3 linked regions of the Saccharomyces cerevisiae S288C genome follow. The gene in region 2 interacts genetically with the main gene of each other region. Each region holds a gene or a part of one and is shown on either strand. Other genes may lie near its edges. The genes, in order: YSA1, TPK1 and RAS1.

Region 1 (3,196 bases), on a different chromosome or scaffold from region 2:
GTTGATAAATATATCCTCAAGGACTACTTCTTTTATATTTCTTGTAGGTGATGTTGTGCCCTCATCGTTAATTTGAATCCCAGCAATTATCAGACAGTTCTGCCGCCCTTCGGCAATGTCCAAGCTGTAGCCAAATACTTAAATCAAGGAACACTAACCATGTATGACATACAAGGAGCACTACCACTGATTTCAACAGATATTAATGGTAGTTTTTTGCAGAATCGTAAGGTAGATCAGTGGAAATAGTAGAAAAGGGCTAGTTTAGATTCAAAATTTGGTAACACGTAACGTCGCGCTTTGGAAAATATACCTCAATGCTGACTACTTAAGATGGCAAATAGCCTTGTCAAATTTCCTACGGAATGTTATTTTCATTACGTCCTTCTTTTTCAATGTACTTATTCATAAATGGGACACTATCTTGTTGCAAAAGGTACTTTGTATTTTGGTATTAACATCTCGCCTATTTTTCATACAGAAACACTACTTATCGCTATCTATTTGATGTGGTATTGCTTGGCCATGAGGATACCTTGAGCTACGTTTTGAACACGTGCATCCAACTTGTAGCCTTGTTGATCCAACTTAACCATTTCATCAGGAAACTTGTGCAACTCAACGCTAAAGCATTCGATAAATTCATTATCTTCCAATTGAGTAACTGGTTTTTGGTTTTCAGGTAAACTCATATCAACTTCGACAGTAACCAGACAGAGGTTGGTGTTTGTGAAACCAGGATCGTTAAAAACTGTTGGGCTTTTAGAAATTATTTTACCACTGTAACCAGTCTCTTCTTTTAATTCTCTTAAGGCAGCAGTGTCAATATCTTCACCCGCATCTATCAAACCGGCTGGCATCTCAATGCATACGCCCTCAACGGGAGGGCGAAACTGCTTTTGTAGCAAAATTTCATCAGGTTTTCCATCTTTGTATTTTAGAATGGTTAAGATACCAATGCCGTCTACACCACCGGAACTTCTAGTGGTGCGGACTGCGCTATCCCATTCCCTTTCCTTCCCGTTGGGATCTTTGTAGATGATTTTTTGTAAACCGATCCACTTGCAGTCAGATGTTTCTTTAACGTGACGGGCTTCAATTATTTTAGCATCTTCTGGTTTACCCTTGACGGTGCTCATAGTTCTAAATAGTCTCCTTGAATTGAGGGAAATAACTCTTACGTTTCTCAAAAACATCTAAGTATGAGAAGGAAGGAAAATGCCGAAAGAATAATCATAAAAGCATATATACGTGATTCATATGAAGGCTGTCTGACGTTGTATTAAACCGCTAACGGCCGTACTTGCCATCCCTTACGGAAGTGTATTCGCTTGCCGGACCTCTTCCTCCATGAAGACCAAAATGAGGAATTATGAAAAATAAAAAATGAAAATTGCCATAGGCATGGCTTGACCAACACATGCGACAAAATCAGAAGTAACAATTCTGGCCTTCACTCCAATGACTATGGATACTGCGCAATTAAAGAGTCAAATACAACAATATCTTGTAGAATCAGGAAACTATGAACTGTATGATAAAATATTATAGGGGTTGTCTTTTTTAAAAAATCTACTTTACTGACTATTCAGATCACCGTCACATTTATTAGAATTTCAAACGAACTAAAAGCCAGACTACTTCAAGAAGGTTGGGTGGATAAAGTCAAAGATTTGACCAAATCAGAGATGAACATAAATGAATCTACGAACTTTACCCAAATTTTATCCACCGTAGAACCCAAAGCATTAGGTATGTGAATATTTTATCACTAAATTTATTGAAAAGAGAACGTTACTAACAGTGGAATTTTTTTTTCTAGAAATGGTATCGGATTCAACAAGGGAAACCGTTTTAAAGCAAATAAGGGAATTTCTTGAAGAGATTGTAGATACACAATGAAGGATACGAAAATGCACCTTAATTCCCAATATTATTACATATGCTCATCGGGAAAACCTTTTAAGCAATAATAGATTTTAAGTATGTAATGATACAAATAATAATATATTTATATACGCATATATTTACATGTGCATATATGAAAAATAACCTAATTCACGTTACCCACCTTTTTTTTTAGCCTTTTCTTTATTTATATATGTATCCACAACATAATGAATGAATTGTGAGCTACACAACATTTCTCGTTGATTATAAATTAGTAGATTAATTTTTTGAATGCAAACTTTTTAGTCGTCGTAGTTTTCATCTTCTTCCACTTGCCTTACTACATTTTCTCTTGGAAGTGTGTTCTCCTGTGGGGATTTTTCTTGAGATGTTTGCTCTTCCTCACGCATTTTGGCCTCCTCTTTCACTGTTTCCATTGTTTCCAAAGTAGGTTTGATTACAGTTATCGTTGTAGCAGCGGTTTCATCTTGTTGTTTTTCAGCATCTCTGGAAGCTGCTGGCTCCGCCTCTTCAGTAGAAGGTGCAGATGCTTCAGTTGTGCCGTTTTCCTCTTTAGAATGCTGTCTTACTTCGTCTTCTACAGGGCTTGCTTCTGCAGGAACAGTAGCAGTAGAAAGTTCTATGGTCTCAGCAGTGCTTTGGTCATTTGCTTTTGTTGTTGAACTTTCTGATGATACAGTTGGTTGGACACTAGATGACTCTGGTTCCGTATTAAGCGGTTTTGTAGAAGGAGAAACAGAAGCTGCTTTGGTAGCTTCTTCAGCAGGACTAGCTTCCTGTGGAGGTTCCTGTGCGCCAATTACTGAAGGTATTGAGTTTGCTTTTACAGGTTTTTCTTCTTGTGAAGTATTATTGGTATTAGACTCCACTACTGCTGGCGATTGGTTGCTCACCTCAGATTTTGCATTTTCTTCAATGGAAGTAGCAGTATTTACTAATTTGTTGATGTTTGAATTTGGAGAGTTCAACTTTTGCTTCTTTACCTGTGGTTCAGCGTTCGTTATTCCTGTTGCGGGAGCTTGCGTTGGAATGGCATGGGTTGGTTGACGAGGAGACTTTGTGTTATTCTCTGTGTGGGTGCTACTGGATACGGCGGCATCTACTAAAGTGTGGATTGCACCTTCCATGTATCTCTTTTGAGGTAAAACGTTCTGTTCCACGTTATGCTGGATTAAAGGTTGGGGAGCTTGGGCTTGAGGCTGGCCTTGAAGTTGTTGTGGATGTTGAACAGATTGTAGTTGTTGCTGTTGAGGTGGCAGTTGAGAGCTTTGCGGATGTTCCATAG
Region 2 (3,738 bases):
CTAATGAAACAGCTCAGGACAGTAGCTATGACTCTATCCGGCGCTCCCCCAGTATTTTGAGTGTTGCCAAAAGCGTTGAGGGAGAGCATGGACGTAGAAAACTATTATGCCTTTACGGCCTTGTTATGATTATCTGTATTGCGGAGTCTATTTCTATGACTGCTACAATACCGTTGGTGATGGACAAGGTAGCGGAAGGAATTTCAGATGAGAATGGACATTATGATTCCGTGGCTGTACAGACAATAGTTTCCAGCATTTCTTCATCCACTATGATGATAGCAGGGGCAATCAGTATTTTCATGGCTGGTAAGTGGGGAGAATTATCCGATAGAATAGGAAGAGTGCGTGTTTTCAAATACATGAGCGGCATCAGGGTCATAGGGCTTCTTACGCACGTCTTTACCCTATCATCGAAAATGAAGTATCACAAATGGGCTATTGTTCTTACTGCGTGTATCGTACCATCATTCGGTGGCTTGTTTGCGCTAGTGGCGAATGGAAATAGTTACGTTTCAGATATAGTGAAAACTGAGCACAGAATGGTGACAATAGGAATAATGATGAGTTGTATATATGCCACTATGGGCGTAGGCCCAATGTTTGGGTCCTTTCTGGTGAAGTGGACTCATGGAAACGGGTTCATTCCTATTTACACATCAATAGCGTTTGTTATACTGGCGCTTATAATATGTGAGACAATCATGGTGGAACCGCGCCATGAAACCCAAATGGCCCATTCACAATCAACTTATACAAAGAGGAGAGAGAAACTAAGATCACAATCGGGTTCTGACGATGCAAGAAATTACCAATCCGTTACTTATGGAAAATTTCAAATAATGAGGTTAATGGACCTGCTCGCTCCAGTAAAAAAGTTATGGCTGAAGCCCGACAGTGCAGGGTCTTTAGTACCCCGGCATACCGTAATATTACTCATTGTACTCGATATACTATTTGTCTGTGGAACGACATCGTGTATGCCAGCATTGATTTTGTTTTCTACATATGAGTACAAATGGCATGCAGTAGAGCTAGGTTATTTCATATCGATACTGGGTATCGGAAGAGGTGTTGTGTTACTGGTCGTATCACCTACATTACTGTACACGCTAAAGAGGATTTATCAACACTTGAACCATTCGATAGACAAGATAGACATCTTTTGCATACAGTTTTCTATGATTGTTATAACACTGAGTCTCTTTGTCATGATACGATTTGGCGAGAAAACTCCCACATCCATGATAATATTCGCTCTTTTACAGGCATTGAGCGCGTTTTGTTCACCAACTTTGCAGTCTGGTATCATAAAGTACACCTCTAAGAAACATACAGGCGAGATGTTCGGAGCAATGGCTTTGGTAAGGTCCTGTGTTATGCTTGTCATCCCTCCCATCCTCCTTAAGCTATATGGAAGTACTGTCTCCGTTAATCCTAGTCTGTTTATGTATATACCGTTCTCAACAAGTATTGTTGCCATCTTGTTGACATTCTTCCTAAGAATTTACAAGAACCCTCCGCTGGACGGGCCTTAAAAACATTTACATACCGTATACACCACATATTTTTAGTTACTTGTTCGAAGCTGTGCTGCTATTCGTTCTTGCAAAGCCAGTGTCCTAACGACTTTGCTTATGACATGATTCAACATAGTGTTGTTGTGGTTTTTTCTACGTAATCATGATGATCTTTTTTTTCGCGCTATTAGGGGGGAGGGAAGGCGGGATCTGGTAAAAGTTTGACATAATAATCAAGGGGGATATCGTATCCCTTTACTTGAAAACTTGAAAAATATTCATCTACTATCTCTGGCCAGAAAAACGTGAGAATTTTTAGGTGCGAAACATCATAGAAGCTGCGATTGTATCCATCTAAGAGTTTTAATTTGATAAAGCTAAGGAATCTGACCCTATACTTTTTTTTTTGTTTGGCTTGCTTGCATTTTCAATCGGCTTCAAAGGTAGCACAGAAAGTAGTGTTCTCTTAGCTTAAGCAGTGCATGAATTATAGCTGATTGTGTGAAAGAATCTTTTTTTTGGGTATGTCGACTGAAGAACAAAATGGAGGTGGTCAAAAGTCTCTAGATGATAGACAAGGTGAGGAATCACAAAAAGGTGAGACTAGTGAAAGGGAAACAACAGCCACAGAGAGCGGTAACGAAAGTAAGTCTGTAGAAAAAGAGGGTGGAGAAACCCAAGAAAAACCGAAGCAGCCACATGTCACTTATTACAATGAGGAGCAGTATAAACAGTTTATTGCCCAAGCGAGAGTTACAAGTGGGAAGTATAGTTTACAAGACTTTCAGATATTAAGGACACTGGGTACGGGTTCTTTTGGTAGGGTCCATTTGATTAGATCAAGACATAATGGCAGATACTACGCCATGAAAGTTTTGAAAAAGGAAATCGTGGTAAGATTGAAACAGGTGGAGCATACCAACGACGAGCGATTGATGCTTTCTATCGTAACACATCCGTTTATTATTAGAATGTGGGGGACTTTCCAAGATGCTCAGCAAATTTTCATGATTATGGATTATATTGAAGGTGGAGAATTGTTTTCTTTGTTAAGGAAATCCCAAAGATTTCCCAACCCAGTTGCTAAATTTTACGCAGCGGAAGTTTGTTTAGCTTTGGAGTACTTGCATAGCAAGGACATTATTTATAGGGATTTGAAACCGGAAAATATCTTGCTTGATAAAAACGGGCATATAAAGATAACAGATTTCGGGTTTGCCAAATACGTTCCTGACGTCACATATACATTATGCGGTACTCCCGACTACATAGCACCCGAGGTCGTTAGTACTAAACCATATAATAAATCTATCGATTGGTGGAGTTTCGGTATTCTGATTTACGAAATGCTAGCAGGATACACGCCATTTTACGACTCTAACACGATGAAAACCTATGAGAAAATCTTGAATGCCGAATTGAGATTTCCACCATTTTTCAACGAAGATGTAAAGGACCTGTTGAGTAGATTGATCACAAGAGACTTAAGTCAAAGACTAGGTAATTTACAAAATGGTACAGAAGATGTCAAAAACCACCCCTGGTTCAAAGAAGTTGTCTGGGAAAAATTATTATCTAGAAACATAGAAACGCCGTATGAACCGCCCATTCAACAGGGACAAGGTGACACCTCACAGTTCGATAAGTACCCGGAAGAAGACATCAACTACGGTGTTCAAGGTGAAGACCCATATGCTGATCTTTTCCGGGACTTCTAATGACTAATGTTTTGTTGTATTTTCCTCTCGTATCTATATTTTTTTTTTTTCATATTTTTTTCCCTCTTTTCTACATAACAACTATCCTTCGAAAACGAAATTTCAACCCCTGTATAGTTACTACGGAGATGGAACGGCGTTCACTGTTCTTGTAGATTGCATACATGATGTTATCGAGGCGTATTCCTACCATTAAAAGGGCTTTTATTCTACGCTTCTGTCTTTGATTTTCTACTTTGCTCGCCGCGCCACTTTCGAAAGCTTGCATCATGAAATGAAGGATTTTGCATATCGATTTTTTTTTTACGTGAGCCCCTTGGTATAAACCAAATAAAGGGCAATTGGTGGCTCCAAACAAGTCGGAATCTCCATTCTATACGTGTATATTTTAGGAAGCATTATAGTCTACGAAAAGATCCATTCTTTCCATCCATTTACTTTTAGAATACAAAGGAGATAGAGAAACTTGCTAAATAAAAAAAAAATTTTGAAAAAATAAA
Region 3 (3,672 bases), on a different chromosome or scaffold from region 2:
TTAGGGGTGATCCAGTGTACATTCATTATCTTGATCCGTGATAATTTTCCATTCAATGCGTTTTTAGCGGGATTCATTATTTGTGTGGGACAATTCGTCCTATTGATGAGTTTGCGGTTACAATTGTGTAATAGTTTTCCAGGCATTTCTAAAAACAGAGCTTTTGCCGAGTTTATTGTTGCTAGTTTGATTTTACATTTCGTTTGTTTACATTTTATAAATTGAGGAAGGGTTTGCCGGCGTGCTTGCATGCATGCTTGTATGTGTATAGTATATATACTTTGTACGAGAATAAAAGAACATATTACAATTGTACATTATAGAAAGCTTACAAAAGGTGGCAGATTAACCATTAGTATTAATGTTTGGTGGCAAGCAACTCTTTTACTAGATACACAGCATAGGAAAATGGATACAAAAAGATGCTGGTGAAACCAATTGAACAAGTAAGAATAGACTTGCAATCAAAACCATGTCATATCAAGAGAGCAGGATCATTTTCAACAAATTATACAACAACCACCACTAGATTCTTTTCTAGCGTTGGCGCTTGAATTTTTTTGTGGCTCAGCAGACTGTTTACTTCTCGAATTTAAGGCATTATTTTGATTACCACGACTAATATCACTTCGATTTCCGTTGCCGTTACTGGAGTACTTGGTATTTCCTTCATTGTTATTGTTTTGATTAACGTAATTCTTTTCATCAGTTCGTTTAGTAGTTTCACCGTTATGGTTAACGGCTGACTTTGAACTGGAGCCAGTGCCAGCATTGGTCAAAGAATTATCGAGTACATAAGACCCGTTGTTCTTTTTTTCTCTATCCGCTGTTGCAGATGAGGTTAGCTCCGAATCTCTTATTTCATTCGTATTATCCAGTTGACGATTCATGCTATTGTATTTCCCACCGTCGTCCCTTACCAAACGAATAAGGCTATAAAAGGCCTCGTCTACGTTGATGGCTTGTTTCGCAGACGTTTCTAGAAAGGGTGCATTCAACTGCTTGGCCAGGCGTAACCCGTCTTCATAAGAGACTTGTCTTTCATTTTCAAGGTCCAATTTGTTACCTACCACGACTACAGGAATGTAGTCAGAATCTTTTACTCTTTGAATTTGCTGATAATAAGACAGTAACTCATCAAAGGAATTTCTAGAGGTGACGGAATAGACCAGTAGGAAACCTTCCCCAGTCCTCATGTACTGTTCTCTCATCGCAGAATACTCTTCTTGTCCAGCAGTATCTAGAATGTCCAAAATGGATACTTTGTCATCGATGACAACTTGTTTTCTGTAAGAATCTTCGATAGTAGGGTCATATTCGTCCACAAAGTATGATTGAATGAATTGAATTGTTAAAGCAGATTTACCAACGCCACCTCCACCGACAACTACTATCTTATACTCTCTTATAGTTGATTTATTTCCCTGCATGTCGTTCTAAAAAGGGAAAATTTTGTTTACCTGTTCAATCGTGAAATAGCCAAACCGAAGTCAATTGTGGCAGCAGTTAATTAAGCATTGCAAGAAAGAACAAGACAGATGATAATAGAGACACCGTACAAGAAAGAATCCAAATTAAGAGAACCATACAAAGACATAAAATATAAACCTTTCAATGTAAAACAAAAGGAGGAAAAAACCTGAAAAGCCGTGAAAAATTCATAATCTTGCGATGAGTTGAAAAAGTTTGTTGTCAAATGTCCATAGACTTACATGTAGTAAATATTTTTGGTTTCTTTTTTTTTCTTCGTGCTTTTTTTTTTTCCTACGGGTTTACATTGTGCCAATGTGAATTTCCCCGCCACTCCCTACCGAACGGGTAGCAGCGTAGAACATAGCGATCAAGGGTGTGCTAAGTGAAGAAGCAATTCAGTGCGGGTAATACATATTCCTAGCCTCGTTTGCCGTTACATTGCATTGATGGTACAATAAAGGGCATGCTTTATATCGAGATGTTTCAGTGTATATGAGGGGAAACAGAAAAGAGTCATTCCTGCCATTTTTTGGTCACTGCTTTTTCTGCTATGAGTAATGGTGAAGTTCCTTGTGGCTACACGCTTAATGTCATCGGGTTACTGCTCCTAATATCCGCATATAAGCTTTATGCAGGGATCAGTTGGGCGGCTATTTATCTACACCCAGTCATCCGGCGTGACTGGATCTCCACTTGCCGCAATAAGTCGGTGGACAAATGGAGATTTAAGAGTAAAGATGCATGATGGTATAATTCCTTTAGTCGAAATAGATATATTTCAAGCGCATATATAGGCAGACGCTTGTACTGTAGAAATAGCCGATATTCAATTGCGCTCTATGTGTGTTTTTATTCCAGGTTTTCCTTGGATTCTACGTATTGTACGACTTTCTTATCCTCCACAAACGTCATCGTGTCAGTAATGTCTTCAGACACTTCATTATCAGAATCTTCATTATTGAAAGAAGAGAGTGGGAGCTTGACCAAGTCTCGTCCACCTATAAAATCAAACCCTGTACGCGAAAATATCAAATCATTTGTGGCCGGTGGAGTTGGCGGGGTATGTGCGGTGTTTACGGGTCATCCCTTCGATTTGATTAAAGTGAGATGTCAAAATGGACAAGCGAATTCCACGGTACATGCCATTACAAATATTATAAAAGAAGCAAAAACTCAAGTAAAGGGCACATTATTTACCAATTCCGTAAAGGGGTTCTATAAAGGTGTTATCCCGCCCTTATTAGGTGTTACTCCCATATTCGCTGTTTCTTTCTGGGGTTACGATGTGGGTAAGAAACTGGTTACTTTTAATAACAAGCAAGGAGGCAGTAACGAGTTAACTATGGGACAAATGGCTGCAGCAGGATTTATCAGCGCTATTCCTACCACTTTAGTGACTGCGCCAACGGAAAGAGTAAAGGTTGTCCTGCAAACATCTTCTAAGGGCTCTTTCATTCAGGCGGCTAAAACCATTGTTAAAGAAGGTGGCATAGCTTCTTTATTTAAAGGTTCATTAGCCACTTTAGCAAGAGATGGGCCTGGCTCAGCTCTATATTTTGCATCTTATGAAATTTCAAAAAATTACTTGAATAGTAGGCAACCTCGTCAAGATGCGGGCAAAGATGAACCGGTCAATATCTTGAACGTGTGTCTTGCTGGTGGTATTGCTGGTATGTCGATGTGGCTAGCTGTTTTCCCCATAGACACTATAAAGACAAAATTGCAGGCTTCCTCCACGAGGCAGAATATGCTTTCCGCCACAAAGGAAATTTATCTACAAAGAGGTGGTATCAAGGGATTTTTCCCTGGTTTAGGTCCTGCTTTACTAAGATCTTTCCCAGCCAATGCGGCCACATTTTTAGGTGTGGAGATGACTCATTCACTGTTCAAGAAGTATGGCATATGATTAAATTTTTGTTAGGTGGACCTGCCTCCCATTTTTTTCTGGCATTCCTTTTGGGAACTTTTTGTTATTTTTTGGTTCTGCAATTTCGTTCAGTGTATGGTAGAAAATATCAGTTGGGTTATCCCGGTTTCCTTGGCGTTGTTGTCGAAGCGTTCATATTTGTAACGCAATGGAGTAAATATAAATGTGATATGTAAAAAAAAGAGTTATAATTTATTCTGTTTCTTTAAATAGTATAAATAAAAAAAGTGGAAAATACAAAGACAACGTGGGCTGATTACAGTATAATCAAC

The links.
Region 1: mutations in TPK1 (region 2) and YSA1 together harm fitness more than expected from each alone (negative genetic interaction), as found in Saccharomyces cerevisiae (3 studies listed by BioGRID).
Region 3: of TPK1 (region 2) and RAS1, a mutation in one rescues a mutant of the other (synthetic rescue), as found in Saccharomyces cerevisiae (5 studies listed by BioGRID, with this or other methods).

Annotation. Positions count from the first base shown.
Region 1 is NC_001134.8:460,678-463,873, forward strand, and holds YSA1 (ADP-ribose diphosphatase), read right to left. Parts: upstream 1,197-3,196; coding exon 501-1,196; downstream 1-500. Other genes in the region: SUS1 (Sus1p), read left to right, coding at 1,462-1,532, 1,613-1,752, 1,823-1,902; transcription regulator CYC8, read right to left, coding at 2,193-3,196.
Region 2 is NC_001142.9:109,466-113,203, reverse strand, and holds TPK1 (cAMP-dependent protein kinase catalytic subunit TPK1), read left to right. Parts: upstream 1-2,044; coding exon 2,045-3,238; downstream 3,239-3,738. Other genes in the region: YJL163C (uncharacterized protein), read left to right, coding at 1-1,538.
Region 3 is NC_001147.6:513,002-516,673, reverse strand, and holds RAS1 (Ras family GTPase RAS1), read right to left. Parts: upstream 1,431-3,672; coding exon 501-1,430; downstream 1-500. Other genes in the region: OST2 (dolichyl-diphosphooligosaccharide-protein glycotransferase), read left to right, coding at 1-225; CRC1 (carnitine:acyl carnitine antiporter), read left to right, coding at 2,396-3,379; alpha-1,2-mannosyltransferase KTR1, read right to left, coding at 3,668-3,672. UniProt on the Saccharomyces cerevisiae protein: The S.cerevisiae Ras proteins modulate the activity of the adenylate cyclase catalytic subunit and therefore affect the biosynthesis of cyclic-AMP.